Rhinolophus ferrumequinum: one gene and its partner. The protein of the gene in region 1 interacts with the protein of each later gene in a biochemical or structural test. Links are inferred from orthologs where the notes say so. Each region holds a gene or a part of one and is shown in the gene's direction. Other genes may lie near its edges.

Region 1 (15,992 bases):
TTTTGGTTTTTGTGCAGCTAGCGTATCTGGGTTCAAATCCCAGCCTCACCATCTACCCTGCCGAAAGTAAGATCTAATTGGAAAATAAGCCCTAGCATGATTTTTCGGGATGACATCCCCTGAACATAAGCCCTCATGCGTCTTTTGGAGCACAACTTAATATAAGACCCGGTCTTATTTTCGGGGAAACACGGGATTAGCCAAATGACCTCCATCAAGTTACATAACATTCTGTGCTTCAGTTTTCTCCTCTGTAGACTAAGGAGAGAAACGTGACGACAACAATGGGTGGTTGAGAGTTCCGAAGCAATGAGAATCCCAGTGTTCTCATTAGCACCTGAGAGAACTAGTATGGTCTTGCGTAAATGACGTCATGTCTCTGAACCTCAGTTTCCTCATCTGTGAAATGAGGGAGAATAATAGTACCCACATCAAAGGACTGAGATAAGGATGTAATAGGACAACGCGCGTGCCAGGTGCTTAGCACCATGCCTGGCACCTAACGAGAGCTCAGTAAGTCTGTGCTGAGCTGAGGTTTATAGCTGGCCTTCAGGAAGATCCAGCTCCAGACGTAGAAAATACCAGTGGAAGTGGGAAGAGACAACGGGGGAGGGCTCTGCTGGGAAGCTAAGGTCGTGGTCTGCAGGGGAGGAGGTGAGGGCAAGTACCAGAGTTGGGCGGGGGTGTGAGGGGGATGGAGGTGGAAGGAAAGGAAGGCAGGGTGAGATGGTGGTGAGAAGACCAGAGGCTCCCAGAGCTGGGGAAGAGGGAGGACAAGGGAGGCCTCTGGGTTTGAGTCTGGTTGGCATGGAGAGGCTGGAAACCTGAGCAGACCTGGAAGTCAGGCGTGCAGACAGGTTTGGCAAGAATGGGAATGGTGGGAGTTCATCATTAGACACTGAACAATAGGAAAACACACCGAGAATCTTGGGAGAAAGAACTATAGGTGATTTCGATGTTTTTCTTTATGCTTTTTCTTATATTTCCTAACTTAAAAAATGAGTATTATTTTATATCTACATTTCAATTTGTAGCCTATGTTTTCATATTTAAATTTGATTTATTTAAATAGATAATATGTTCATATGAGTCTACATTTAAGAGATATAAAGGTTTTGTTTTGTTTTTTTAGTGAAAATGCTCCCTCTTCTACCCGTTTCCTAGCCACTCAGTTCTTCTAAGAAAAACCACTGTTACTCACTTCTTGGGTATCCTTTCAAAGATATTCTATGTCTAGTCTAGGATGGATTGTCTTAGCATAAAAATTATGCAGCGTAAGAAAAAAGAATAAAAATCATATGCAACAAAAGAAAAAATAGGCAAACTGGACTTCATGAAAATGAAAAACTTTGTGCCTCAGAATATACTATCAAAACAGTAAAAAGGCAACTCACGGAATGGGAGAAAATGCTTTGTAAGTCATATATCTGATAAGAGGTTAATATCCAGAATATACAGAGAACTCTTAAAATTCAACAACAAAAAGACAAACAACTCAATTCTTTTTCTTTTTTCTTCTTTCAAACAACTCAATTCAAAAATGGGCAAAGGACTTGAATAGACATTTCTCCAAAGAAGATATACAAATGACTAATAAGCATATGAAAAGATGCTCAACAATTAGTAATCATTAGGGAAATGCAAGTCAAAACCACAATTAGATACCCCTTCACACCAATTAGCATGTCTACTATCAAAAAAACAAAACAAAACCCAGGAAACAAAGATTGGTGAGGAAAGATGTGAAGAAATTGGAACCCTTGTGCACTGTTGGTGGGAATGTAAAATGGTGCAGCCATTGTGGAAAACGGTATGGAAGTTCCTCAAAAAATTAAAAATAGAGCAAACGTATAACCCAGGAAATCCAAAATAATATATAACCAAAATAATTGAAAACAGGGTCTGGAAGAGATATTTGTACACTCATGTTCATAGCATTATTCATAATAGCTAAAACGTGAAAGCAGCATAAGTGTCCATCAAAAGATGAATGGATTAGCAAAGTGTGGTGTACCATACAATGGCATATTACTCAGCATTTCAAAAGAAGCAAATTCTGACACATGCTACAACATGGATGAACCTTGAGGATAATATGCTAAGTGAAGTAAGCCAGTCACAAAAAGACAAATACTGTCTGATTTCACTGATGTGAGGAACCTGGAGTAGTCAAGTGCATAGAAACAGAAAGTAAAATGGTGGTTTTCCAGGGGCTGGGTTAGGGTGGGGTTGGAGGAGTAGGAAGTTAGTGTGTGATGGGTATACAGTTTCAGTTTTGCAAGATAAAAAGTTTTAGTGCTGATGGTTGCACAAGAATGAATGTACTTGATGCCACTGAACTGGACACTTAAAAATGGTTCATGATGGTAAATTTTATGTTATGTGTGTATCTTACCACAATTAAAAAATAAAAGACTCCCTGTCAGGGTGAGGCTGGGTTGGAGATAAGGATTCGGAAGTCACTCCCATAGATGTTGCAGTTGAAAGTGGGGGATTGGATTAGAAGCCCAAGAAAGAGGGTACAGACCGAGAAGGGAGAAGAGAAGAGAGCTGAGAAGTGTGGGTGCCATAGTGTGGTTAGCACCTAGGCTCTGAAGTCCGCAGACATGGGCTGCAATCTGGCTGTGCCACTTCCAAGCTGTATGAACTTGGCAAGTCACTTAACTTCTCTGTGCCTTAGCTTCCTCATCTGTAAAATGGGGGATAATATTCATATCTAACCTCACAGTGGCATTGTGAGGCTTAAATGAGATAATGCTTACACAAAAACACTTAGCACAGTGCTGGCCACCTGGTAAAACACTCAATAAATGCGAGCCTCAGGGAAAGGTATATTTAAAGTATTTAACAACAGATATAACACATATACTAACCAACTGGAAGAAACAATGCCTTTAGAATCCTGTGCATTCCAGGGATATGCCCACCCTGGCCACCGGGCTGGGGAGCAATCATCAGAGGGAGAACAAGGAAGGTGGCTGGTCTCTCTGGGGGGTTTTGGGAAAGCCTGTGTTGGGGGGAGCGGTGTTGAGCAGTTTCAGTACAGCCTGGGAACGCAAGGCCTGAGTGAGGCATTTAGCTTGCTGATCTCTGAACAGCAGTGACATGGAGAGTTAGAGGCCGGAGGTGAGTGAGAACAAAGTGAAGTATCTGAGAACCTGATGCAGACTGCTCACTCTCTGGAGAAATCTAGTGATGAGGAGGGGAGAATATGAAAAATATCTGCCATTAGAGTATCATATAGAATAGTTTCACTGCCCTAAAAAGCCTCTGTACTCTGCCTATTCATCCCTCCTTCTCTCCCTCCAACCCCTGTAATCACTGATTTTTTTTTTTTTTGCTGTCTCCATGGTTTTGCCGTTTCCAGAATGTCATACAGTTGGAAACATATGGAATGTCGCCTTTTCAGACTGGCTTCTTTCACTTAGTCATATGCAGTTAAATTTCCTCCAATCTTTTCATGGCTTGATAGTTCATTTCCTTTTTGCACTGAATAATATTCCATTGTCTGGCTGTCCCACAGTTTATTTATCCATCACCCACTGAAGGACATCTTGGTTGCTTCCAAGTTTTGGCAATTATGAGTAAAGCTGCTATTAATATCCCTGTGCGGGTTTTGTATGGACATAAGTTTTCAACTCCTTTGGGGAAATACCAAGGAGCACAATATCTATCACTAGAGATTGATTTTGCCTGTTCTAGAACGTCGCATAAAATGGAATCATATAGTATTTACTTTTGCTTTTTTTTAATATCTAAACTCTCACTCAACAGTATGTCTGAGATTCATCCATTAAAAAAAAATAACAGCTTTATTGGATGTAAGTAAAGTGACTTTTTAAAGTATACATACAATTCAGTGTGTTTTGTTTGTTGTTTTAGTATATTCACAGAGTTGTGAAATCATCCCTGTGGTCTAATTTCAGAACATTTTCATTGTCTCAAAAATATCCCTTATACCCTTTAGCAGTAACGTCTCATTCTTTCCTCTCCCTAGCCTCTCGCAACCACTAATCTATTTTCTGTCTCTATAGATTGGCCTATTCTGGACATTTCTTTTGTTTTTTTTTAAGGAGGGCACAGCTCACAGTGGTCCATGTCGGGATCGAACTGGCAACCTTGGTGTTATCAGCACCACGCTCTAACCAACTGAGCTAACTGGACACCCCTGGACATTTCATATATTAATACATGAAATGATACAACATGAGGGCTTTTGTGACTGGCTCCTTTCACTTAGCGTAATGTTATTGAAAGGTCATCCATGTTGCCGCGTGTATTGGTACTTCGTTCTGTTTATTTGCTGAATAATATTCCATTGTATGGATATGCCACATTTTGTTTATCCATTCAGCAGTTCAAGGAAAGTTGACTCATCCTGTTTTTCACACATAACACTAGTTTGTTCTTTTCATTTCTGTGTGATAGTCGGTTGAATGAACGTACTCAATTTATCCATTTTACTCTTCATAGACTTTTCTCCTCCTCGTTTTCGGCCACGTTAAGATGCTATGAACATTTTGGTATATGCCTTAGTTGGCCTAAGCACTCGTTTCTGTTGGGTATAGACTCAAGAGAAGAATTGCTGTGTGTGTGTGGGAGGAGGTGGGTGTTAGCTCCGTTGGTTAGAGCGCTATACTCAACAACAGGGTTGTCAGTGGATCCCCACATGGGCCACTGTGAGCTGCGCCCTCCACAACTAGATTGAAACAACTACTTGACTTGGAGCTGATGGGTCCTGGAAAAACACAAATAAATAAAAGTTTAAAAAAAAAAAGAGTAGAATTGCTGGATCATAGGGAATTACACGTATATTCAACTTTAGTAGCCACACGGATTAACACTTTCCCAAAGTGGTTGTAGAAAGCAATTTATGAAAGTTCCAGTAGCTCCCCATTCTTGCCAACACATAATATCTTAATTTTAGTCATTCTGGTTGGGGATAGTGCTATCTCTTTGTGGTTTTAATTTGCATTCTCTAATAACTAATGATGTTTAGCACTTTTTTCTTTTGCTTACTGGCTAATTAGATATTCTATTTTATACAGTGCTCATTCAAATCTTTGTGCATTAAAACAATTGGATTGTCTTTTTGTTAACGTAGGTGATCTTGATAAATTCTAGATATGTGTCCTTTGTTATATCTATGTATTATAAGCATTTTCTCCCAGGCTGCGGTTTGATTTTTCACTTGCTTAAAATGTGCCTTCTGATGAGCAGAGTTCTTAATTTTCATTAAGTTCAACTTAACAATCGTCTCTTATGGTTTACACTTTTGGGGTCTTGTTTAAGAATTTTTTGTCTACTTCAAGGTCATGAAAATATTCTCCTATGCTTTCTTCTAGAAGTTTTATTGTTTACTTTTCACATTTATATCTCTGATCCATCGTAAACTATTTCCGTCAGTGGTATGAGGGTAGAGGTCAAGATTCATGTTTCCACATGTGGTTGTGCAGTTTACCTAGCATCATTCATTAAAAAGACCATCTTGGGCCGGCCCGGTGGCTCAGGCGGGTGGAGCTCCATGCTCCTAACTCCGAAGGCTGCCGGTTCGATTCCCACATGGGCCAGTAGGCTCTCAACCACAAGGTTGCCAGTTCAATTCATCGACTCCCTCAAGGGATGGTGGGCTCCGCCCCCTGCAACTAAGATTAAACAAGGCACCTTGAGCTGAGCTGCCGCTGAGCTCCCTGATGGCTCAGTTGGTTGGAGTGCATCCTCTCAACCACAAGGTTGCCAGTTCAACTCCCACAAAGGATGGTGGGCTGTGCCCCCTGCAACTAGCAACGGCAACTGGACCTGGAGCTGAGCTGCGCCCTCCACAACTAAGACTGAAAGGACAACAACTTGAAGCTGAACGGCACCCTCCACAACTAAGATTGAAAGGACAACAACTTGACTTGGAAAACAGGCCTGGAAGTACACACTATTCCCCAATAAAGTCCTGTTCCCCTTCCCCAATAAAATCTTTAAAAACAAACAAACAAAAAAAACCCATCTTTTCCATACTTATTTGCAGGGGCACCTTTATAATAAATCAGGTGACTGTATAATTTTATTTTAAATATGGTTATATAAAGATTTGAAGGAAATAACAAACTGTTAATAATTTTTATATTGTGGTGGTAAGGTTTGGGAGATTTTTATTTTCTTTCTTTTTAGTATTTTCTATACCAACCATAATACTATTTTAACACTCAGACAAAATAGATGAAATATTTTTTAAACTATTACAAGAATAGACACTATCAAGGGTGCAGGTTCTTGGGAGATGGGGGAATGGTGAGGCTGGACAGCAAGTAGGAGGGCTTTCTTAGTTATGGATGCATCTAGGCTAGTGGATGGCAAGGAGAGAATTCAGGGCCCGGGCAACAGAGGACTTCCATCTTCTTAGTGACCTCATTTCCCTGGAAGAGGGTGGTGCTAGGAGGCTGGGGCTCCTGAAGAAAATGGAAATGATTGTTCTCCATAACACTCTGTTGAGTACTAACAACAACAACAAGAACAAGAAGATAATGCTCTGTCGTAGTGCACACTGCTTTCAGGTCCAAGTCTCTGGGCTCTTCCCAACAGTCCTGAGGGCTGGGCAAGGCCTGGTGATTACGCCCATTTTGAAGATAAGGAAACAGGTACTCTCTGAGTCCTGCTGAAGCGTTCACTAAGGACCATTCTATGCCAAGCCTCCTGTTAGTTCTGGATCCCTGGAGGGTCGGGGAAGACATTTTGGAAGAGGTGACATTGAAGTGAGTGTTTTTCTTCCATTTTTGGAAAAATTGTGTAAGACATATATGATAGAAATACAGATAAGCAAAAGAAAAAATCAGTCACAATTCTTCTGCCCTATTTACACTGTTATAAAGCCTTTTCAACTTCTCACGCGCTCTCTCTCAGACACACACAGAGTACACAAAAATAAATTAAATCCTGCTACAATAGCATTCTAAAATTTGCTTTTGCTTAGTATAGTTTAAATCAGTAAATACAAATCTGCATTAAAATTTTAATGAATTTCTGGGTATTTTTCAACATATGGATGTATCAAAATTTATTTAATCAATCTATTGTACACTTATAAAATTTAATGACTATCAACAATGTTGAAAAGAACTTTTAAACCCATATCTGTGCACTTTTCCAATTTTTTATTGATGGATTCTAAAAGAAAATTGATTAATTTACTTTCCCATCTATATCTCTAAACCTGGCCAACAGTGGGCATTTTTATTCTTTTCTTTTAAGTTGATAGGTGAAAAATGGCATCCTATGTCGTTTTGTTTGCATTTCTGATGACTGTTTTTCTTTTTTTATAGTTATTGGCAGTTTAGATTTCTTCTTTTTGAATTGCCTGTTCCCTTCTTTTTTCTTTTCTTTCTTTTTTTTTTTTTGCCATTTTTATTTTGAAGTATTTGGGCTTTTTCTTATGGACTGAGAATAACTTTTTATATATTGTTGGTAGTAATTCTTCGTAGCAAAATGTTTTTCCAGTTTTCTTTTGCCTTTAGGTCATAAACTTTTTCTGAAGTTTATTTGGAAGAGTTTAGTCGTCATAGGAAGGAGAGTCCAAAAGGAAAGAGTAATGAGAGATTTGCCCTCTTAGATATAAAATGTATTAGAAAGCTACTGTCATCAAAGTATTGTGGAACTGGCTCAGGAACACACAGAAAGATCAACGGATACAACTCAGAAACAGATTGAAGCGTATGCTGTATGAGTTGGATAGGTGATGAAGGTGGTACCTGAAATCAGTGGAGAAAATGGTGTGTGGACAACTGGCTGTTGCAAATATTGTATTCGATTTCCTCCTCACTCCAAAATAAAAATAAATTCCAGGTGAATTAAAAGATAAATATAAAAATTCTCTTAAAAATTAAAAAAAAATTAATTTTGTAATGGGCAGTAACAACAAAAAAAGTACTCTTTGCCTACCTGAAAAACAAAAAAAAACCAAGAAAACATTTTGTAACAAATACCTAAAAGGAAGTGTGCGAGTTAATCACATGAAGGTAAAGAGAGGCTTGGAGGTGCCTTCCAGACAGAGGGAACCCGTCTGAGCAAAGGTTTGGAGGCTGAAAGACGGCAGCGTGCCCACACTATAGAATCGAACTCAGGGCTTCCACAACGGATCCCGGGCAGAGTCCTTGTTCGCCCCACAGGCCATAATAATTATGTAAAATAGCACTTTTCCCATATATGGTACTTAATTTCTGTTCTGGTAGGATGACATTGGACAGGGAAAACAGCTCGCGGGGGCGGGGTGTCAGAATCCCGGACCTTTCCAGTCCACTCCCGCCGGGCCTCGACCCCGCCCAGGCAATGCACCAAAAAAAAAAAAAAAAAAAAAAAAAATCCCTGCGAGCCTCCTCCTCCTCATTGGACTTTCTCTGTGTCAATCGTCCTCCTGGAACCTGGCTGTCCGTTGGACCCGCCCTAGGAGGCGGGGCTCCCGCCTAGGAAGCGCGGAGGAAGGTGGAGAGTGTGGTGGTGGGGGGATGATGAATCCCCACTTATTTGGGCCCATAGGCTCCGCCCATCCCTTTTTACAGGCTAACATATCTGTCCATCAAGAGTGGGAACAAGCTGGAGTGGGTGAGACAGCTAGGGGGCGGGGGCGTCCTTCAGGCTCCGCCCCGGAGCCGCGGAGAATGGGCGAGCGGCTGAGAGGGCGGGGCGGGAAGGCGGCGAGTAGCCGAGCTGGGTGCGGTGAGGCGCGCAGATCACCGCGGTTCCTGGGCAGGGCACGGAAGGCTGAGCCAGGTTGACCTGCTGCAGCTCCCGCCTCGCGCGCTCGCCCCACCCCGCCGTCGCTAGAGCGCTCGAGAAAGCCCTCTCGGGAGAAGCAGCGCCTGTTCCCCGGGGCAGATCCAGGTTCAGGTGAGCAAGCCCCACCGGCCGGTCCCAACCCGGGGCAGGCGGGCGGGGGCGGCGGCGGGGGCGGCGGCTACTGGACTCGCGGCGTGTGGGGCGAAACGACCGACGTGTGGTTCTCGGCCTCCGCGCGGCCGGCTACTGGCGCGGTCCGGCGCTAACGCGGCGGGGCTGGGCCGGGATACCGCATCCTTCCCTGAGGGGCGCCGGGACCCCTGCGTGACTCTCGGGGAAAGCGCCTCTGGAAGCGAGGCCTTGGGGAGCAGAGGAAGGCTTCGGGGCCAGCGTTCCCCGGAAACCCTCGGTCTCCCCCACCCCCGCCCGCCTCACGCCTCCGGCGGGGCACCCAGGAGCCTCGACCTCCCCCTGCTGCCCGGGCACGCGCCCCGCCCTCGCCTCGCCCAGTTCCCAAGTTGGGCAAACTTTTTAACCCCTTCCGGGGAGCCGCTGTCCCTTCGACCCAAACGGGTGGGGGCAAGGTGGGGGGCACGGGGCTCCGGCTGCTTTGGAAGTTTCCAGGCCTTTTCGAAACGGAGGTAACGGGCAGGCGGGGACCGTTTGGCAGCTGTCAGGGCGTCCTCCTGAGTCAGAATCGGACAATCTGCTGCAGACATTGCACTCGGCTCAGTTTCCGCCCTCCGCTCCCGACTTCCTCATTCGCTGGGCTGCGAGCGAGCGGGCGCGAGGGGACCGAGAGAGGTGCGGAGGGGTGCGCGGGGAAGGGCGACCCCGCGGGACCGGGCCGCCAGGCAGGACAGACTCCCCCGCTCTCCCACAACCCTTCCACCTTTGACTTCTGACTTCTGCCCCGAGAGGAGGGCCCGCAGCGATCGGCTGGGTCCAGGCGCGCACCTGATTGCGCCGCACCTGGGGGCGTCCGGCCCGGGTGGGAGTGGAGGGAGCTGGGTGCTGCTCCTCGAGGACGAGGCCTGGGCTGTTGCATGGTTGCTGTGTGGGCCCGATCCAGGGTGTTCTACACCCCCACCCGCACTTCCCTGTGCGGGGGTGCTCGCGCCGTGCTGTCCTGGGGCCACCCCCAGGGCAGGACCGCAGCCCCTCCCCCCCCAGCGAGCCCCACCGTTTCGCATGGAAACGGACGAGGAGAAGGTTGCCGGCTGTCTTGAGGTGGCGGCAGGGTGAGTGCCAGGGCTGCTGTCTGCGGCCCCACCTAGCCCGTGTGAGGAGAAAGGTTCCTGGGAAGTCCCACGTCCTGGGGACGGCGCGTCCTCCTCGGGGCGCTCGAGAGGCCTGGCCGCTCGCGGTCCACTGCGCCCTGGCCTGGGTTTTACAGGGTTTCAGAGGAACTTGGGTGACTGGAGGGAGAAGAGAGCCCTACGGGCTTCCTGCAATGCTGTGGCCGTTTCTCACCCCACTGTCTGAGGCCCGCCTGGTAACTCACCTGGTGGCTGACTTCCTTTTTGGGAAGGAGGGAGGCTGCTTTCAGGCCTGTTTAGACAATCGCTTGATTAATATTAGTCAATTTATATACCAGGCTGCTAGGGGTGAGAGGTGGGTACACAGATGTGTAACTGAGCAAATATTTAACTGGCTTCTCGGTGCTGGGGACTCTGCCAGGTGGTGGGGGTGTGAGGTTGAGTAAGACCTGGCCCCTGCCCTTGGACGCTTAGGAGAGAGCGGAGACAAATCTGTAGATGACTGTCCTGTGAGGTGAAGATGAGAGAGACCCCAGAAAGGTACTGTGAGTCGTTGGGATTGGGAGAAAAGAGCCAGCCCATCCTGAGGCTCGAGAGTTTACATTCCTCAAGGGGAAATAGTGGCCCAATGACTGAAGTACAAAGGCAGCCTGTGATGAGGGTCCCAAGCATGCCACAGACAAAGGACTCGAGGAATTCCGGAGAGGGGCCACTTCTGTCTGGGGCCAGGAGGGAAGCTGCTTCGAGGAAGTTGCACATTGCAAGTTTGGCAAACTGAGGGCAAGCACTGGGTGTTGGAAAGTGAGGACTCATTTAGTGGATAATTGAGGGGCAATTAAAAGCATCAAGAGATTGCTCGATGTAATTTGAGAGCCGCTGTGCCCCCCAGATGTCTGCGGGGTGACACCAAAGAGCTCTACTCTTCACTGTCAGCAAGTCCTGGCGGTGCTTATGGGCAGATCCAGGTGCCCCATTGGCAGGCTCTGCTTGGGGAGGGGCAGCCTGAGGGGTGTATTCTGTGGGGCTGCTTGTCAGAAGGGCGCATGAGGGGAGAGGAAAGAGAGGGTCAGGGCCCCGGCTTTCTGTTCTTTATTTTTAAACTTTTTAACCTAAGGGGCTGGAGATGGGACAACTTCCCTCTTGCAGGATGAAGGTCGCATGTTAATCACAGCCTGCCTTTCCGCCTGTTCTTGCTCCAGAAAAAACAAAACAAGGATCTGTTAGCTTTTTAAAAGGAGAAAAGCACATTCAAAAAATGCAGCATTGTTGTGTAGCCTGGTAGGGTATTGCTAGAAACCAGGCGAGCTGAGCTTTCTTCACTTCCTCTTGTAGCTAATCCTTCAGTAAAGTGCTTAAGACAGCCCTTACCAGCTTGACATCTTTATTTCAAAAGGAGAGGAGGGGTTGGCTGTTGTTTCCCTCGGAGGCGGGCCCTACCCTTCTCTTGGAGGGGGAGACAGAAACCCAAAGCAAAGGGGGAAAAAAAACCCTTGCTTTAACAGCTTCCTCCCAAGCATCGTGTTCCAGAAATATTTAGAATAACAAAATCTGTGTGTCGTCTTAATTAAACAAACATCCTAATTTGCTGAGCATAAAACAGCATCTCTGCCCGCAGGGGCAGGAAGTGCAATTTCTCTTTGTGCAGCCCCAGAGTCTCTGCCTCCCGGCCTTAACCCTTGATGAGCCTTAACCCTTGGTGCCCTGGGCCCCTGGGCTCAAGTCCTCTGGTGACAGCAGAATGGAACCCTGGCTGCCCCCGGGAAGCAGTGCTCCTGTGACTTACAGAATTCCGCTCTGAGAGCTGGGAAGAGTGGGGTCTTGAGCTTTGGAACTAGGCAGAGTTCCGATCCTGACCCCACCACTTCCTAGCTTTACGACCCTTTAGGTAAGTCACAGAACCTTCCCGAGCCTCAGGGTCCTCTGTGTCCTCCTATTCCTTACCCGTAACATGGGAATCGTGACATCTACCGTGCAGGGTTAGATGCGAGAACAAAAAGAAATAAGGTATGTAAAGGGCCTGATCTTTTTAAGAAAATATATAAATGTTCAGCTTTAACTCCGTGGGTTGTCAGGGGGAGGAAACAGTCGAGGAGGGGTAGATGGTTTTCCTGGCTCAGTGATCTTTCTGCTTCTGAAAAGGTGTGCTTGGGTGTGTGCAGAAGCCCAAGTGGTAACAAAAGTGGTTCTGGGGCCCATCTGCCGATACTTTTGGATTCACTTGGTGGTGAGCTCATGCTGAGCATCCTTGGTCCAGGGCCCTGGCCTGGGCAGAGGGTGTGCAAAGCAACTGCGGTTTCAGTTCTAAAACATGGTTTCCCATGATCTAGGACACGGCCAAAGGGTGGCATGGAAAGGTCATTGTAGTTGAGTATCTGGAGACCTGACTTCCAGCTCTGGCTGGGGAAACATTTGATTTCGGTAGCAAGTGCCATTATCGCGTATGAAGACATCACACCAGTTTATGTGCTCACTAGTTATGCACAAGAGCACGAGGGAACTGAAAAATTGAGGCGTGTTAATTTCTCCAAGTTTCTTAGGTACTCTCATGCCCCGTTGATGGGAGGAGCATACGTGGTAACAACTGTCTTTTTTTGCAGGTAGTTTGACAGTATCTGTCAAAGCATAGTCCTTCTGTCTGAATTCTAGGAATGCATCCCACAGATAAATGTGCAAAAGGTGTGAGGATATTGTTTGCAGCATTGGCGTAGACAAAGACAGGAAACAAGCTCACTGTCTATCAAAAGGGTCCAATAGATCATGGCACCCCTGTACAGTGAGAATCCTTACAGCCCTGAAAAAAATAAGGCTGATCTAGATGTAGTGATATGGCATGCTTTCCAAGGTATGTTGTAAGTGGAAAAAACTCGACACGATAAAGTAGTATAGATGGTGTTCCCTTTGTGTGAAATATGCTATGTCACCTGAGCTCTGCACGGGAAGATGCCGAGACCCTGGGAATAGTGGTTGTCTGTAGAAAGGACCCAGGAAGCAGGAGTGGAGGCCGGGGTGTGTGTGTCTGAGCATTTCATTTCACTAAATGCCTTTTTATACGTATTTCCCTAAAATAGTCAAAAACTTAAAAGTTTCGTATTTTTATTACTTATCTGGCCAGTCTCGTAGGTCTCAACTTTCAAATGCATTGCTCTAGATTCCAAGTTTCATATTGAGTGCTTACTGTATGCAAGGAAGGAGGAAAGGTTTTAAAAATGGACTGACTTGTTCTTGTGGTTGGAACATATTTGGGTACTGTTTTTTCCTCCATGATGTCATATCACCAGAGTAACCCCTTAAACAAATGTCTACTCTGATCTATTCCCTCATATGCTGGAAAATGGTAGATGGTTGCTTTTTCTTTGCTGTATGAGAAGAGGAAACCTGCAGTGTGTCTGGAAAGTATTTTGGGATAACCTTTTGCCAGGTTTCCCACAATTCCCCTGGCTCCAGATCCCCCGAGGTCTTTTCCTGGGGAGCCCACCCTGAACAGAAGTCGACACCAGGCCTTTATTCTCTTGGGTCCTCTAAACTTGGGGTCACTGCAACCACTGGTGTGCCCCTTCCCACTTTGTCCCCAGTTATCCGTCAGACATCTGGCCTGTGGTTTTTGTGTATTAAGAACAGTGGAAAAGCCCAAATTCCTGAGAAAATGTGATCAGAAAGGTATTTTGAATTGGGGGGGGCCTCCATTCTCTCAGGGAAGGCGGTCTAGTCTTGGTTGATGTGGGTGCTGGAGAAGCTGCCAGCTCTGCTGTCTGCTGAGTGGGCTGTTTTCCGTGGCAAAAGCAGCGGAAGACCCCTTTAGGGTCTTGGGCAGGCCTGTGTCCCTGCCAGGCTGCCTCCGGGCCTCCTGGAGGAATGGCATGAGTCACACATGCGTATACAGAATGAGCCTGGGTCTAAAATGGGCCTACCACCACATGGGTTTGAAGGCTGGAGGCTGGCTATACCCCCGCCCCCACTTCGTGCTTTGATGGTACCAAATATTTGGGAAGCAGGAGGGGAGCTGCCCTCTTGTGTCTGATGCATTTCTCTTTAAAAAGGAACTTAGGCAGGCCTCTGTTGGAATTTCTCAGGCCCCCATTCTGCTGACTAGTTTCTCCAGCCTGGAGTGATTCAGCACCCAGAATGGGGCACAGCGCGCTGAGCCCACAAGAGGCTCGTGGCTGGCCTTTGGCTGAGGACAAGGCCTTCTGGGGAGCTTCTCCCCAGCCTGAGCCTCCGGGTCTCGCGGTGGCGCCTTCTGTAGCTGCCTCCTTCCCCAGCTCTGGTGGCTGCTCCACCGGGAACCTTCCCCCTGAGGCTGGAGGGAGCTTTACAGGCCCTTCCGGAAGTTGCCCCTGAAGGGTGTGGCTTCCTGCCTGGGCAGGTTGGGCCTCGGCCTGTGGGGAAGCTGAAGGTGGAGCTGATTTCCCCCCACCTTCATCATTGCCTTGGTGCTTCTCAGGGGTCCTGGTCCTTGGGGCCCTACAGTACTGCCCGGAGGACTAAGGGAGGCCCCCCTATCACTTCCATGGGCATTTACATTTGGGAACTTGTGTCTTAGATTTCTTTTCCTTTCATTTTAACTCTAATTCTAAGTGATTTTTCTAAAAGAAAAATCAACAGGACAGTAAAACCCTCCCTACTGAATTTGCTTAGAATTAGGGAATGCCTGAGTTGGAAAGGATCTTAGGGATAGTGTAATTTTTCTCCCCCAGTTAGAGGAGTGGTTGCCCAAGCTCATCTGTTAGTTGGTAGAAGAAAGCTTTTGGCCCCTGGTTTCACTCAACCCTGTTGCCTTTCTTTCAAAATCATGTGGCCTTATTTAAAAGTGTTTTTGAACTGTTATCATCCCTTTTATATACTGTTTAGCCAAGCAAGACATACTCAACTCCTTTAATCTTTCCTCAAGAGTCTATTCTTCCACACCCTTAATCTTTTTCTTTTTTTTTGGTGGCGGGGCACGAGGGTTAAGAAATGGGGTGGGAGGTGTTTCGGGTTTCTCTGAACTCTTTCCAGTTGGACAGGGCCATTCAGGCTGAAAGTTCCCACAGCTCAAAAATCAATATTTCACATGGGGTAGAGCCAGGCACGGGGTTGGGGGGGGGGGCGGCTTACAGAGAGCGACCCTGGCTTCCACTGTCCAGGAGCCAGTCCTGATTGCTAGTAATTTTAAGTGATTTAATGCCGTGGATGATTGATTATTGTATTTTCAGTACAAAACTCATAGTAGAGGGAACCAAACACGGGCTTTGGGGTCAGGGGGACCTGGGACCAGATTCTTGCCGTTTCTCCTACCACCTGTTACACTGGAGCCTGTTTCCTCATCTGCACGTGGAGATGGCTGCTTTTTTAGACTTGTCATAATTCGCATAGAAATATATGCAAATTGTTCCAGTTCTTTTTTTCTCCCCTTCCTCTTCCTCCTTTTTTCATGTTATCACCAACATCATCAGGTGGTAGGAAATAGGTGTTCGGGTTTTAAGGATTTTAAATTTGTCTAATAACCCTGTCCCTTTGAGAACAAGATGTGGGGACTGAAATGATTGAGGGGCCTGCTGGAAGATTTCCTGGGCTTGGATGCTGAGGTTTTCAAGGCCTGCGACCTTTGCATCCTTCCCACCACACAGCGCAGTTCAACTTGTTTCGTCTGAGCTGGTTCAAGCCTTTGAAAAAAGGCTGTCCCCAAGCCGGAGAGAGAGGCACCTTTATTTAGAGTTGTCTGTGTTTAAAAGCTGCCGCATTTCCTGTGTTTTACAAAGTCACTGGGCTGGACAAGGCAGCTTCCTGTCTGATAAACATAAAGACGAAGCGTTTGGAACAGTCGGGGTGACTTAATCTAACTGGTCTGGAAGGGGGAGAAGATTGTAGAACCTAATGGACTGTGAGAACCTGGAGGTCAGAGGCAGCATCTTTTTTCCTCTCTGGCTCCCAGGTTCTTGCCTGGTCCTTGTTGAACGAGTGGTGTTTAGGTCTCATTGGCGCCATTGCCCGTAA
Region 2 (15,907 bases), on another chromosome or scaffold:
TTATACTGTGGTGGGAACACTGAGCAGGGAGCCCGCTGAGCCTGAGAAGGCTTTTCAGACCCAGTGGCTCCTGGTCTGGGCCCGGAAGCATAAGCACAGCAACCCGAACAGCACCCCAGGCGCGGAACACGTCCAGAATGGCCCCAGGAGTCCATGTGGCATGTTGGAGAGGGTTTGTGGGTGTTTAGAGGGAACAGGGAGGCGATGAGGCAGGTAGGAGGCAAATGGTTGTGGGGTCTTAGGACTTAGAAGACTTTAAACTTGAACTTAGGTGTCCATTCTCCACTGTGGGTATTTGTGCCATGGGACCTACAGTCCTCTAGAGTACCTGATGCCCAGGGAGGTACTGGTGCATTCTGAATAGTCAACTTATTTGAATGTCTGACAGGAAAAATATTTTTAATTTTTAAAATGATACACCACTGGCTGAAGAAGTCTCACACTGGGGGCGGCTTCTGGCTGTCCGAGCCCCTGGAGTGGTGCTGTTCAAACTCCCAAGTGCATGGGAACCCCTGGGGTCTTGCGGACATGCAGGGCTCAGTCCTGAGTCCAGCACCTGACGCTCAGTATTTCTAACGCGCTCCCAAGCGAGGCCTGTACTGCCCAGGAACGTCCCACACTTGGAGTGAGGTTATGAGTGGGTTGCTGAAAACGAGAAACAGTGATGGGGACCCCTGGGAAGGTCTGCGCAGGTCAACAACGCAGGTCTTTCTGCGTTAGGGAAACGTATGGTGGTAGAAAATGGAAGGGCAAGGGTGTGAAGTGAGCCATGAGGCTTATTTGTTAATGTCAACACAAGTTAGCAGAGTCCAATGTTACCAGGGTCCATTTTTTGTTGTTATACGAGGTGTGATCAGACAATACGGTGAATGTTTACATTTAAAAAATTTATTACAGTGAAAGACACATTGGCATTAATCCCCCTCAAAATACTCCCCCTCGCTTCGTACACAGTTATCCCATCATTCCTGCCACTTTCTGAAGCAGTTCTGGAAGTCCTCTTTCGTGAGTATCTAGTTGCGCTGTCGTGGCTGCCTCCATGTCCTGAATCATTTTGACTTTGAAGAGCCAGAAGTCACACGGTGCCAGATCCAGTGAATAAGGTGGATGAGGACACACTGTAACATTTTTGTTGGACAGAAATTGCTGTACCAGAAGCGATGTGTGACACAGAGCCTTGTCATGATGGAAGATGCTTTATGGCACACTTTAAAACACACCTCTCAACCGGAGCTCACGCCTGACTGACTGCACTGAACAAGTTGAAACTTGTCACATACTGTTACTGTTACTAAGGTTCAATGTGCTGCTTCCCATATTGAAGGTCCCTGCCTTTCCATTGGATGGCCCTCGGCAGCAGCACTCACCGTATTTTGTGATCACAACAGAAAGGCTCCGTGTCACACATTGCTTCTGGTACGGCAATTTCTGTCAAATAAAAACATTACAGAGTGTCCTCATCCTCCTTATTCCCTGGATCTGGCACCATGCGACTTCTGGCTCTTCCCCAAAGTCAAAATGACCATGAAAGGTAAATGTTTTGAATCGATTCAGGACATCGAGGCAGCTACAATAACGCAACTAAAGACACTCACGGAAGAGGACTTCCAGAACTGCTTCAGAAAGTGGCAAGAAAGATGGGATAAGTGTGTTGGAAGTGAGGGGGAGTATTTTGAGGGGGATTAATGGCAGTGTGTCTTTTACCGTAACATTGTTAAAATTTAAACGTTCATTGTACTTTTTGGTCACACTTCATACTTCCCTATATTTAAAAAAACTAATGAAGAAAATTATAAACATTTTATAATAAAAGACTTGAATAAAGATTAAAGGTAAAATGGTAACAGCCTTCAAAAACCATTCGGCCCCTTTGCAGTCATTCCTGGAAGCCTGGAAAGGGCGCCAGGGTCTAGGTCCTGGCAGTTTCTGTCTGTATACCTCTGGAAACTGAGGTGACAAGTGACAAGTGTGTGAGCAAATGCTGGGCACTTAGGGGAATGAACTGTGGCTGAGCACTTCCTTCCACTGTTCTTCACAGTGTCCGGTGGGGGCACATGGGGAACACACACAGGGTAACGAAGTGCAGAACCTCCAGGCGCACCCCTCCGGCACTGCCCTGAACACAGCTGGGGCTGTCGATGAATCTGAGATTAGGGGGGACGGTGGCCGGGCCCCCTTCTCCAGCTGGCAGGCCTGTCCCGGTGCAGAGTCTGCACCTCCAGACTCAATTCTGGGAGGAGGAGGGATAAGACCCATTTTGGCCTTAGGTCCAAGGCAGCTTCTCCAATCCAGCTCTCCTGGGAACAGAATTTCAGCCCCTGGCTCTGGTGTTTCCCAAGGTGCGGGGGCAAGTGCCCATGGCACCCCCAGGCTGCATACTGGCCTCTCTCCCCCCACCCCCACCCCTCCACCCCCGCCCTGCTCCCTTCTGCACCGTGCATGGAGGGTTGGGGCCAGATCTGGCTCCCCACGTGGCCAACACCTAGCATCAGGGTTTTCCTCCAGATGTTTGCTAAGCTGGGCCAGGAGCTGGCCAGAGCTTGGGAACACTCTGGTGCCCAGGGGTGGGCAGAACCGCCCTGGGGACATGGGCCCGTGCCAGGCAAGGCGAGCTGGGGCGCTGCCTGGGAGGTGGAGACCATAGGAGTACACCACACGGCTCCTGCTTTAGCTCAAAATTTCTCGGTCTAAATAGACATCCTTTTAAAATCCTGGTGTCCTAGTTCATCATGCACCCCAAGGAATACAGGCATGTTGGCCTGAGAATGTGGGCTTCAGAGACCTGCGGGTAAGTCTAATCTGAACCCCTCGTTTTACAGATGAGAAAAGTAGTCCTGCAGGGGTAGGGACTCCCTGGGGTCACTGAGCAGGTCAGTGGGGCCAAGGCCAGGCAGCCTTGCCCCCGTGCCCAGGTTCCTGCCACCATTCAGCACCTCCTGGGACCCCCTGTGCTTCTGCTTCAAGGGCAGAATTCATGCTAGTGGTAGGAGGATCCCATCAGGACATTTGAAGGACATTAACACCTTAGTTTGGAGTCAGCCAGGCCTGAGTTTGAACATGTAGAAATGTGACCTGAGTCCCCTTTTCCTCAACCAGCATGGACTTTATTCTGAGCTCCCCAAACTGTCATGGGTTTTCCAGTACACTGTCACCTGGAAGTCCTGATGAGAAGAAAACTCAGCAACGGTTTATTAAGGTGGGAAAGTGAAGCCCCTTGCATCCGGAGGCTGCAGCACGGGACACTCCAGGCCTGCAAAGATGGCAGGAGGCCACTCCGAGCTGCGACTTCTCTGAGTGGATGGGCTTTCTCCCTCAAGGCCCTTGGCCCGCCTTTACTATTTTACTGCCATCACCAAAGGGGCTCCACCCACACCTCTGGTCACGGATCTCCAGCTCCAGGCAAATGCCAAATTCCTCACCCAGCTCTCCTGACTGCCTGCCCGGCCTCACCCACCTTCCACTCAGCTGCGTCCTTACAGCTTCTGCCACACGCCTGCTCCAGTCTGCAAATGTGCCCGCTCTCTCCCAGCTCCAGTCCTCTCCATAGGCTGGTCCCCGGGGTACGAATGCCCTCCCTTTGTCTAGACAAGTGGTTCTTACACTGGAGCATGTGTCAATCACCTGGAAGCTTGTCCCACTCCATCTCCCAGCCTTCCTTGCTGCCGGGGGCCCTGCCCTAGGGTTTCTGATTCCGAGCACGCAGATGCTGCTGGCCTGGGGACCACACTTTGAAGACCCTGGTCTAAAGAAGCCCCTCTGTCTCAGCCAGTCTCATCTTAAGCAGCACGTCCTCCGGAAGCCTTCCTCGGGGCTCCCACGGGCCTCTGGCGTGACACTGTCATGTCATTGCTTCTCAGTGTCCAGACAGAGTTGTGCGTTAGAGCGTGTGGTGCAGAGAAGACAAGGGACACGGAAGGAAGAAGGGAGAGGGCTGGGAACTAGTGCCGAGTGCTGTGGGGTCTCCATCCGCTCCCGGGCTTTCCGTGCCCCACTGCAGTTGATCCTACATCCTCCACACCTTTGAATGCTCTCCAGGGGTCACACCAAGGGGTCACGATTATTATCACCATTTCGTAGAAAATTGATCCCAGGTTATGGAACTTGTCCAAGGTGTCACACAACAAATAAGAGACAGAGCAGGAATCAAAGTGAAGTCAACCTATGGCTTTCTGCACTTGCAGGGCGTTTATGGTCCAGCAACGGGGTGGTGTAACTGAGCCCTGCTCCAGTGGGCTGGGTTGAATAGTGTCCCCCAAAATGCACGTCCTTCCCAGCACCTCAGAAAGGGACCTTACTTGGAAGTAGGGTCATTGCCGATGGAGTAAGTGAAGATGAGGGCATGCTGGAGTAGAGGGGCCTTCATCCAATATGGCTGGTGTCCTTATGGTAAGAGGAGACACAACACAGAGGGAAAAAGGCCATGTGATGCAGGCAGGAGTTGGAGCCACGCAGATGCAAGCCAGGAAACCCCAAGGGCTGCCGCCGCCGCCACAAGCTGCGAGGGAGACTCGGCTTGCGTTCTAGCCTGGAGAAAGGTTTGCAAACGGCCGCCTGGGGTCCAGGGCTCACTGCCGCCTTCCCCAGGGGTTGTGTGCCAAGGGCAAAACAAGGTCCTTGCCCTCCCAGCTTCATGGTACGTGACCCCTGCCATTCAGCTCATGCATGAGAAACTCAATTTCTCAACTCTCTCAACCTCCTCCCTCACCAAATATTTGAGACGCTATCAAGGGTAAAACCTGTTTGCTCCTGGAGCTAGCTGTCTGTGCAATGAGAGTGGACAGGAGTCAGCGAGCCTGGGCTTGTTCCCCAACGACCCTGCTCTGAGCCTCGGTTTCCCCTTCTGCAAAGTGTGGAGGTTGCACAGATAGCGAGGCCCCCTCCTCTTCCTTTTCTGCTCCCTCCATCACCGTCAGATGTCCCTTGGGCAGGTGGCTGCAGGACCCCTGAACCAGGTGTGGCTGGAGGGCTCCTTCCTGCACAGCCTCCTTGAGGTCTCCCTGCCTCCAGCCTCACCTTCCTCATCCCCGTCTAGCGAGTGGGCTTCAAAAGGGCAATCCGGTTATCTCTCCCAGCAGGAAAGCCTCCAGATAGCTGGCTGGTCCTAAGCTGGCTGCACAGCAGGCTCACCTGGGAGGCGCTGGGCCAGCCCAGCCCTAAGAAACGGGCAGCTCTGAGTGGCTGGGGCTCAGACAGAGCTGGCATGAAAGCCACCCAGGGGCTCTGCAGTGCAGCCAGCGCTGGGAGGCCCAGGCCTATGGGACAAGGTCCAGGTGAGGCCGGCCTGCAGCCGACACCACATTCCGTCCCCAGAGTGTCAGTTCTTCATGCCCGGGGGCCTTTGCTGCCCCACGCCCCACAGCACTGCGTCCTGCAAGCAGCAAGCCCCACTTCATCCTTTAGCTGCTGTGTGTGGCCTGGGTCCTCCTTGCCCCTCTGCTTCTCCCCTCCTCCAGTCACCTCTCCCTCACGTCCCCCTCTCTGGCTGGGGCCCCCTGAGGTCAGGAACTGTGTTCCCCTGGCCCAGTGCAGGGACCTGGTGACACAGGAACTTGCTGCACCAACGTGGTTTGGGGCCTGGCTGGCTGGGCTCTCTGCTGACCTGGGACCACACACGAGGGGGCTTCGGGCATGTTTGCTGAGACAAATATCCTCCTCAGACGCCTCATCTGCCCAGACTCCACAGGTTAGGGAGCGTTCCCGCCAGGCCGCACTTCTCCTTCCCACCACACACCACGGCTGTCCCAGAGCCTCCATCCCACCACAGGCCCAGCCCCGCAGGAGATACTTCCCGCCCGTCCATCCCCTTGGCAGAAGCAGGGCAACCCTTTAATTCCTGGACACGGCCTCCTGCGAGGCGATCACCTGGCCCCTTTGTGTTCAGTGGTTCCTCTTTACTCTGCGTAATGTGGAAGAAACTGGTAATTCCAGTTCTTCCTCTGATCTCTCAACACTGGACGTGGGAGGGGTCCGGCGCCCAGGTGTCTGGGTGGCCAGATGCATGGTGCCCGCAGGCAGTGGGGGACTGGGCGCAGGAGCCCGGGAAGGCTAGAGGCCCTGCTGAGGGCAAAGTTCTCTGACTTCTCCATTCTGCGATCGCACCAGTTGTTAGATGACATGGGGGAGAGTGAGCTGGGGAAGGGGAGGCGGGCGTGCTGAAGGCAGAAGCGCTTTCCTTGCCCGTCCAGACTGTCTCCGCTGGAGCCAGCGGGGGACACCCTATTGTTAGGTCAGCTACGGGCATGGTCAAAGCAGCCGGGAGCCGAGTCATACCCCTCTGCCAAGTCAGACCCCTCCCCGCATGACAGAGACTGAGGCCCCTGGAGTTTCCCAGAAAAGGCAGCAGACCACTGGTGCGATAAGCAACTCCAGACACAGCCGCTCCTGCCCCATCTGCGCTAGGGGGCCCTGCTCATCTGCCACCTCACACAGCAAACCCCCACCCCAAAAACCGCATATATGCCTCCCTCCCTCTACCCTGGGTGCAACTTCGCTGGCCCCCATCTGCAGACCGGTGAACCTCGCCCGGAAGCGCAGAATAAAGCACTAATTTTCTCAACCCGCCTGACTAGCCTCATTATCTCACCGCAAGCCTTACACCTATAACCACAGAAGCAGCTCAGAATGGTCCTTATCCTATTTGATGAGGTGCTGAGTTCTTTCTCAGAGACAACAGACCAGGACCAGGGGTCATGCAGCCGAAGCATGCGCAAGGGAGAGAACTTGGGCCTCCAGCTGCACCCAGAACCAAAGTCGTCTCACCCACCCACCCCCACGGAACCAGAGGACTGGGACAAACCTGGAACTTGAACACAAGAACTCTTTCAGAAGTCAAGGATCTGCTGTCCAGGAAGACCCGTTGTTGACACTCCTTAGTGTAAAAGGCCCTGTTCTAAGGTCCTGCATGAAAACTTGCCCCTTCAGCATTTCCGCACATCTGTGCCCCCAGCCCCTTAAAAACCCTCAGCCGGGTCCAGCGAGCAAGATGGATTTGAGGCACCGCTAGCGCTCCCATCAGTTGGCGTCTTCTCAATAAAACTTTCCTTACACCAAACGCTGCTATTTTGAGCTTTGGCCTTTCCAAGCGTCTGGCACACAGATTTTGGTCCAGTAACCAGCCCTTCCCAGCTCTGGAAGGTGTGGGCTATGAAGATGACAGCCCTCCAGGTTCTGTAGCTCTCCGATCTGCTTCTTTGCTGATGCTCCTTTACCCCAGGACCCCACAGAATTTGCAGAGGAGACCCCGGCAACAGCAACTGTGCCCACACCTGCAGGGTGGGAAGAAAAATGACCCCAACGTGGTCGGGGATAGAAAGAAGACCTTTTTGCAAAATGCAATTGACAATCTCCTTTTGGGATGAAACTAGCTTTCTAGACAAATAGTTTCTGTTAAATTTTATAGAGTTAAGACCTGGTCCGGGATATTAGTTATCTGCCCACATGGAGACTGTCTGCTGGCAGAGGTCATTAGTGGGCTATTCTTTTCTGTTTATGTTCGCTCTATCGATGGTGATCTAACCACTTTTTTTTTTTTAATCCCTACAAAGATCTCCACCAAGAGAGGTCTTTGAGTAGGCCTGCTTTGACTTTTGCAACAAGTCAGAAAATGAAACTTTGGAAAAAACACACATTCATGACCAAGATGGAGGCAGCTCCAGGCCGGCCCACGCTTTTCTGTCCCAGGTCCTCCGCCAGCAGGTCTGGGAGCTGCCCTCTGGGTCTGACGGACTCTCTCCTGGAGCAAATCTGAGTCAGGCTCCTCCAAGCTCTCCTCCTTGGGCTCCTCCCCCTCCTGTCTTCAGCCTGCCTTGACGTGTAAGTCCTTGGCCTGTCACTAGCAAGAATCCCCCAATCCTTGCCATCTCCTCTTAGTCATTTTCCACCCACTGACCCCCTCTATTGGTGATAAATGACCAGCTGTCCCTGTCCTACCCAGAGTTGAGCCCGGTCTCCCCCATATTTCAATAGTCGTGACTCCTACTGCAAAGTCCTGAGCATCTTCCTTCTGTTTTAACGGGTGTCAGAACCATTTATTTGTCCTCTAAGGAGGTGTCTGACACACAGGTCTCAGTATAACCCTCTCTTGGGAATACGGCCCATCCTCCAAGTAGGGGCTCCAAAGGGCCCGCACCGTTCCCTTAGGGCTTGCTGGTGAGTTACTCCGGCAGGAGCGGCCCTGGTGAAACTTTAGGGTGCTGGGGAGCAGCTCCCACAGTTGTGAAAGCTTCAAGTTTAAATGAAGGCGTGAGGGTTAGCTCCCCACTTCTGCTGCACCGTAAGGTCAGGGCTGAAGGATTCCTTCCAGAGGCGGTAGCCCAGGGACTTGGGCCCTGGAATGTCATTCTAAGAGGGAGCTGCCCAGCAAAGGAGTGGAGCTGGCCCTTCCCTTTTCCCAGATAAGCCTCCCTTGCGGGAAACCTGGGAGAAGGCGACATGGCCAAGGGAAAATCAGCTGTTGAGAGTTCAGCTGCCCCTGTGAAGTGCCAGGCTGGTGCCAAGCCGCGTGTGTGTGGCCTGATTTCATCCCCCCACGACCCTGCCCTCCAAGTTCTGTCCAGGCTCTCGCCCTGTATCCATGTCAGGCAGCCAGGGACCGGACCTGCAGGCTCCCCCAGCGACAAACACCTCCGTGTGTGGGCACCACCAAGGAGAGGAGAGTGGCAGCTGGGGGAGGGGTGCAAACGTGACCTAGACCCCACACTCAGGGTGGTCCTGACAGGCAGAGGCCCAGAGGAGGCTTCCCCCTGCCTCACCCCTGTAACTGCTGTGGTCTGGGGAGCGGGCCAAGGTATCAGATGGTCAATGACTCACAGGGTGTTCTGAAAAGCAGGTGACAGCAGCTGCTCATTCCAACATTACAACTGAAACGCTTTCTCTGTCCGCCCACTGGATGCCAGGCCTATCTGATAACCATAAGGACAGGGGCTAGAGGACAGGTCCACGCATTCATTACTCACTCAGCAAACACTACCAGGCACCCACTGAACCCCAGAGGCCCCACTGGTCCCCCACGGTGGGGGACACCATTGTAATTCACTGACCACCCCAAAACACAGGCAAGCGGAGTAAAATATGGGCTCACCAAGGTAGCCTGCACCCAGGCCTAGCCTGGGGGAAGGTTCCAGACAATGGAACCAGGAAGTTGCAACAATGGCTTCCTCAGAACTGAGTAATGCAGACTGGGAGGGGCAGGGTTTGTTGAACAGTCCAGCCCTGTCCGTCCCACCCTGTGTCAATACGAAGCTGGGCCTTATAAAGCACCAGGAGCCCTCCGGTGGGCCATTACCTCGGCCAGTGCAGCCTGCAGGAGCAACGTGCAGAGACGCAACGTGATTGGTCCGAAGCCGGCACCATGACGGAACTGGAGACTGCCATGGGCATGATCATTGATGTCTTTGCCCGGTACTCGGGGGCCGAGGGGAACAAGCAGAGCCTGACTAAGGGGGAGCTGAAGGTGCTCATGGAGAAAGAGCTCCCTGGCTTCCTGCAGGTGAGGGCGCAGGGCCCTGGGGGACAGGATGGGGGCTCCCCCTGGGGCAGGGCCAGCTGGTTCCCGGGACAAGACGAGGGTCAGGGAAGACAGTGGGGGGAGGAGAAAGAAGGGCATGGCAGGCAGAAGGGGCAGAAGTGGTCAGGACCCAACTGCTCTAAAGGAGAGCGGCAGTAAGGGGAGACCAGCTCCAGTCCCTGAGAAACAGATCTGCTGCCCCAGGGACTGGGGACTCTGGAGCTTCTGAGCAGGAAGGAGATGCGGCCAGGGCAATCCTTGAAACAGGGTGGGAGCCCCAATTTAGTTGGGAGTGGGATGGGAACCTGAGCTGTGGGAGATGGGGAGCGGGGGCACAGGGACCAGATCCAGGGCCATCTCTGAGGCTGGGGGCATGCTGGTCCCTCAGAAAGGCCCCCCTCCAAGGCTGCTGGTCACAAACATCCCTGCTCCACTGTCTGCTTGCTCGCTGTCCACCCCCCATTCCCAGGTGCCCTGCTGCCAGGTGTTAGGGGGACTGACAGGAATAAGGATGGGAGGACGTCCCATCCTGGCACCTGTCTGCCCAGAGCCACTGGGCCTGGAGCCTCCCCAGGGGGCCTCCCCAGGGAGGCTAAACAAAGGGCCTGCCCTCCTCTGCCTGCCCCTCTTCCTGCTCCCCTCCCCTTCAGCCTGCCTGTCCCTTCCCTCCCCCCCCCTCCCCACCCCTGCCCCACCAAACTCACCTACCTGCCCTCTAAGGCATTTCCTGAAAATGCAAGGTTGACATTTTCAGCCTTAAGTATCAGTTCAAAGACACTGAGCACTTCAGTATTTTTCTCTTTCTCTAGATGTGAATGCAGTGGAGATACATTTTTTAAAATAAAGTTCATTTGCTTTTCTCTATTTTAACTATGTTTATAGTAGAAAATGTAAAATACGGATCTGTAGAGGAAAGAAACCCCAGCACAGTTCTCCCTCTCCCTCTTCTTTCCAGCCTTTCCCCGTGTGAAAGTTGATGTGAATGAATTTCTAATTTATATGCAAGTGCATTTCTTTTGACTTTAACGTTATAACAAACATTCTCCAGCTTCAGTGCTCATTGAACGCCCGCCCCACACGCGCGGTCCTGGGAAGCGGCAGCTAAGCCCGGGATTCTCAAACTTGGGTTCCATCAGAATCAAGGGGAAACCTGGCAAAAGCGGGGGGGCTCAGGCCCTTCAACAAGCCCAGCCTCCAGCCGAGGCTGACGCCCGGCAAAGTGGAAGAAGCACTGCGCTCAGCAGTGTCCACTTTTAGCCGTTTCCTCCATGCCCAGCCCGGCGCCTGGCCCAGTCGGAGCTTCACAAACACTGGGTGGCTGTCCGGCTACAAATGTCCTGCAGCTCCCTTTTGATGGCTGCAAGGCGTTCACCTCACCCGTTCGCTCGCAGTTTGATTACTATAGAATTTGCCGCTTCCGGGCCTGGGTCGTCAGCGCCCCCTGCTGCTGCTTTTCGGATCTGCACTGTGGTGGTGCGTGGTCTCTTCTTGAAGACGGTGCTCTGGCACTGTCATGTGAGCAGACTCTCAGGGACACCCCCACCCCACCCCCCACCCCTGGCCCTCTCAAAGACCTGGGTCCTTGAGGTCCGACCCGGGTGCCCGAGCAGAGGGGAGCGCAGAGACTCTGTCCTTCTGGGCCTAGTCTCAACTCCAGATCCGCCCTTCTTCCCCGTGTCTCCTTCCACCCTCTGGGCCTTATTTCTTCATCTGTAACACTGGGTGATACACCTTCCTTGCCTGGTGTTTGTGAGGCCTAGAGGAGGTTTATGTACAGCAGCTGGCTCCGTGCCAGCACGAGATGGGTGTTTGGTAAACGCGACGGGAAGAATTTTAAAAAGGCAACACCCACAAAGCTAGAGGTGCACACAGAGGGAACACGAGTGAGTGTGTACCCTGGGAATCATTTTAAAGCGCATTATACAATCCAAAGACAATCCCCTTCAAAACATAAAAATAAAATAAAAACTCTCCTGCATTGCATTCGCTAGAGCAGCTCGCGACCTCTGAGTGCGCCTGTCCTTTCCAGGAGCAGCGGGTCTGCTGCGCACAGCTGGCTCTGGCACGAGCCGAGCCGGCTGACAGCACAGGCTGGACAAACTCGCTTTTCCCTCCCTCTGCCCAGGGTGCGGCTTGGCTGAGGCCCAGGCCCTGCACAGGCACCCTCATCGCTGACCTTGGTCCTCTGTCTCCTCTAGAGTGGAAGGGACAAGAACACCGTGGACAAACTGCTCAAGGACCTGGATGCCAATGGAGACGCCGAGGTGGACTTCAATGAGTTTATAGTGTTTGTGGCTGCACTCACGTCTGCCTGTCACAAGTACTTCCAGCAGCCATGACCTGACTGATACTCTGTAGCCCCGGATTCCCGGAGAGGGCACCAGGAGAGGGCCCCTGGCTTCCAGAAAGGCCTGGGAGGCAGTTATTTCTCGGGGCTGAGCCAGCGGATGGCCCTCTAATAAATAAAATGCTCGTGAAATGATCCTGGTCTCAGAGAAACTGCTTCTTTCCTTAAAGCCTCAGTACCCCCTCCCACACACACCAACAAACTCACTCATCTGTCACTTCATGCTCACTGTCTGCCCAGTGGAGAATGGAGATGGAACAGCACAGGTCACTTGGTAAGAGTCCATGCACGGGCCACTTCCTGAGTGCCCACCCTGTGCCAGCTGATGGCTAGGGCACAGTCCCTGCTTATGTTTATTCGTCAGCACAGAGTGAGCCCCCTGGAGTGGATCCAAGGAAGGATTGTGGGATGTGTATCCATCCATTCAATCAGTCAGTCATGTAACCACTCATCAAACCCTGGGCCTCCATCTTCCATCTCTCCAAGCACGTTTTTTTCAGGTAACATCTTTCTAATGGTACACTATTTCTTCTTGCCACAAAACCATAAAACACAGTAATAGACCTCGAGAAAAAATGAATTGTGAGGATGAGAATCACCACCAGTGAACAGCTGGCCACATCACTGATGTTCACAACTTTGTGAAACTCTAGAAAGCAACCAACGTGACTCAAGTGGGGTCTTGGGTGGTAGGTCAATTTGACCTGGTTTTGAGACTCTTATCATTTTGAATACCCAACAGGTGAAGGCTTTTCTTATGTTTGAAGACATCACCAGGGCAAAAATGGGCACCACTGAGAGATCCTGAACTTGGCAGTGGACACACCGATATAAGGCTTTGGTTTGTCCTTTGGTTTGTCCCTCGGGGAAGGGATGGCTCGGGTTTTTGTAAGAGGGAGAGTTGCGTTAGGTTAGATAGGAGCAGATACACACATGTAAATAAGGTGTGAAAAGTCAAGTGAATGTGACATGGGGGAGCTGGAAGTGTGGACCAGAGTGGAAATTGTTTTTGTTTCCTTCCTCCTTCACAAATTAGTCACCATCCTGTGAATGACGAATCACCTGGTTAGGAGGCAGAGCCTATAGAAGCTGCGGCTAGCACCACGGCCCTTGCTCCCTGACCTCGCTTATAGCTGGGGCGAATCACCTGACCTGGGATCCCCCAGACCCTGCCCTCACCCCAGACTTGGAGTTGGGCAATTGATGCAAAGAGTGGGGACGTGGAAAAACTCGCAGGAGCCTTGCAGCATGGCCGTCACTACGGAGTCCTGAGCCTAGTTCTCCAGATCTCAGCCATCCTGCACTTCTCACCATCTTACAGGAGACAAGTCTTTTCTACATCATCGCCTGGGGGGAGAAACGGGGGGGACTCTGTGCTTTCCAGCTAAGAACTCAGACTGCTGGAGTATGCAAATGGCCACATGCCACTTCCTTCAAGTGTCCCTGGGGCCTCTCCGACAGGTCCTCAGAAGCCCCAGCCTCTCCTCGTGAAGACAACAGGGCCGTCTTTCTGTTGTCAGTCAGTCCACAGGACGGCCTCCATTCAAGTGCCCTGCTTTGAAGATTCTTTCCTGGACCGTGCAAGTTCATCTCATCCTGGCTGCACCCCTTCCTCCAGCTGAGAGATCACCTCAGCTTGGACAGCGATCCCTGCCCCAGCCACCAGCCTCCCGTGGTTCTCCGTCAGCCCACTTCTGTTTGGCGTCCCGAGGAGGATGCAGAACGCGCAGCGCTGTGGGTGAAGTCCACAGTCACCGCTGGAGTCACAGCTTCCTGGAGGCACCTGGCAACCAGGTCCTGGTGAAGCAAAAGCTCTTCCCCCTCCTCTAACTAGCAGTTTTTAATGGCTGCACAGAATTCACTAGAATGAGTGTACCACTCTTTGCTCATTATTAAAGATACCGTTCTTACTTTTTGGGTTTTTTTTTTAAAGTATGCTACAGCTAATATTTTCATGCATAAATCTTTGTCTTAAGCTCAGAAATTTTCCCCAAAATGAATTCCATTTTTAACCTAGGATTCCTAGGGCAGAGGAGTAAAAATATATACTATAAAATGTTCTACCTTAACCATTTCTAAATGTACAGTTCAGTATTGTTAAGTATATTGTATTGTAACATTCACATTGTTGTGCAACCAACCTCCAGAACTTTTTCATCTTCCCAAACTGAAACTCGGTACCCATTAAATTAACCAACACCCCCAACCCCCGGCAACCAGTGGTCCACTTTCTCTGTGACTTGACTACCTTAGGGACCTCACGTAAGTGGAATCAGTGTTTGTCCTTTTATGTCTGGCTTATTTTATTTGGCATAACGTCCTCAAGGATCATCGTTGGTGTAGCAGGTGTCAGAACTGCCTTCCTTTTTAAGGCTGAATAATAGTCCATTGTATGGATGGACCATATTTTGCTTATCCATTCATCGATCGCTGGACACTTGGGTTGCTTCCAGACTTTTTTAAAAAAAACAAAGTATTTAACCCAGGTCAAGTGTCTCCACCATCATGCTTAGGAAAACAAGCAGTAGCTTGTTTCTGATTTTTTCCGGCAGAAGCAGCCTTGGGAGCCTGACCTTCTGCCTGTCGCCAGCGCCCCCTGCTGATGACTTGCAGAATTGGTCCTTGGCTAAGCTCTGTCCCCCCAGCAAGGATGGTGCATTTTCACCTTCCTCAGGTGGGTTGCCCGTGGGTGCTGGGACCACCATGGCCTGGCTAACTCCTGGCTGAGCACGGCAAGTCAGGTGCCCTGTCTGCTATGAACGATGAATGTCGAACAAATGCCAGCACTCATCTCTAGGTAACATGCTATTTGATTTATCCTGCTGACTGTGTATCTCCACTTCTAGAAGCAGGCTCGAGGCAGAACTTTTGGACTGTCTGGTCACTGCTATATCTCCTGGTGCCTAGAACAGTGCCTGGTATACAGCAGGAGCTAAGTAACATTGATGAGTAAATAAAAACATCTGCGGGAAAAGGGAGTTTTCGACGGTTGTAAGCAGGGAACTGACATAACCCCACTCACTCCAGACTGGAGTAAAACTGCAAGCAGCGAGGCCAGTGAGGGGACTATCCCGCGAGTGGCTTGGAGTAGCTGGAGGGAGCTGGGTGAGTCCAAGGTGTGCTCTGGAGGTAGAATCAATGTAAGGACGGGAGGGGCTGCTGAGGAGGCAGGTGTCAAGAATGACACTGAGGTCCCGGCTGAGAAACTTCTCTTCTGCACTGGTGAGCAGACACAATTAAGTGTCAATTAAACTGACATACCTAATTGGAACTCATTTCGAGGAGTATTAAGAAGCACCAACCCCGTGACAGCCAAGCACTGGCCTAAGTGCCAGGATTTCACACGTGGACAGAGGCCTTGCCCTCAGGGGGCTGACATTCGACCGAAAGAAGTCAGACAACACCCCAAATACCCCACGTCGGGTAGTGAAAAGAAATGGAAAGGACAGAAATAGTGGATGGCACTGCTATTTTATAAGCAGGAGAGCCTCTCTGGGAAGGTAACATCTCAGCAGAGCCTTGAACCCACTTCTCCCCATTTGGGCTGGCAGCGCCCACAGCACGGGAGAGGTGGAAGCTGCAGCTGATTTCTTTATTTGCTGTTCCTGGGTTCTTCACTGTTTTGTTGGTTTGTCCCTGTGCTTCTTCTGTCCCACACCCCTACTGCATGAAGCCCTCCCAGGCTACCTCTAATGCCCCCATGGGCCCTGTGGGCTCTCTCTACATGTCCAGCCAGACCCTCCCCCACCTTCCTCTGACTTCTCTCCACACAGCCTGCCCTCCCTTAGAACCCCCTGGGGCCAGGTCAGCATCCAACTCACACAGCCAGCTCTTCTAGAATATCCAGAGCTTGATTACCAGGCGGTGCTCAGACGGGTGTGCTGCTTCAACAACCTTGTGCGTCCGTGTGGGTGAGGCTGCCTACAAAGAATGGATCCACATGCTGAGAGGGAGGCAGTGGGCCGGGCTGGGGGGATTGGTTAGTTGGGGATATAGGATAGGAAGTGACATCGTGAGCCAAGTGGATAGTCACATTCCAGTCTTTTCAGAAAAAC

What was found.
Region 2: the proteins of MYH9 (region 1) and S100P interact in a biophysical measurement, tested with the Homo sapiens proteins (2 studies listed by IntAct). The link is inferred for Rhinolophus ferrumequinum from reciprocal best matches to the Homo sapiens genes MYH9 and S100P.

Annotation. Positions count from the first base shown.
Region 1 is NC_046293.1:10,276,859-10,292,850, forward strand, and holds the start of MYH9 (myosin-9), read left to right. Parts: upstream 1-8,687; 5' UTR 8,688-8,871; intron 8,872-9,456; exon of another isoform or gene 9,457-9,564; intron 9,565-15,992. UniProt on the Homo sapiens protein: Cellular myosin that appears to play a role in cytokinesis, cell shape, and specialized functions such as secretion and capping. Required for cortical actin clearance prior to oocyte exocytosis. Promotes cell motility in conjunction with S100A4.
Region 2 is NC_046288.1:84,344,096-84,360,002, forward strand, and holds S100P (protein S100-P), read left to right. Parts: upstream 1-9,268; 5' UTR 9,269-9,349; coding exon 9,350-9,487; intron 9,488-11,703; coding exon 11,704-11,844; 3' UTR 11,845-11,988; downstream 11,989-15,907.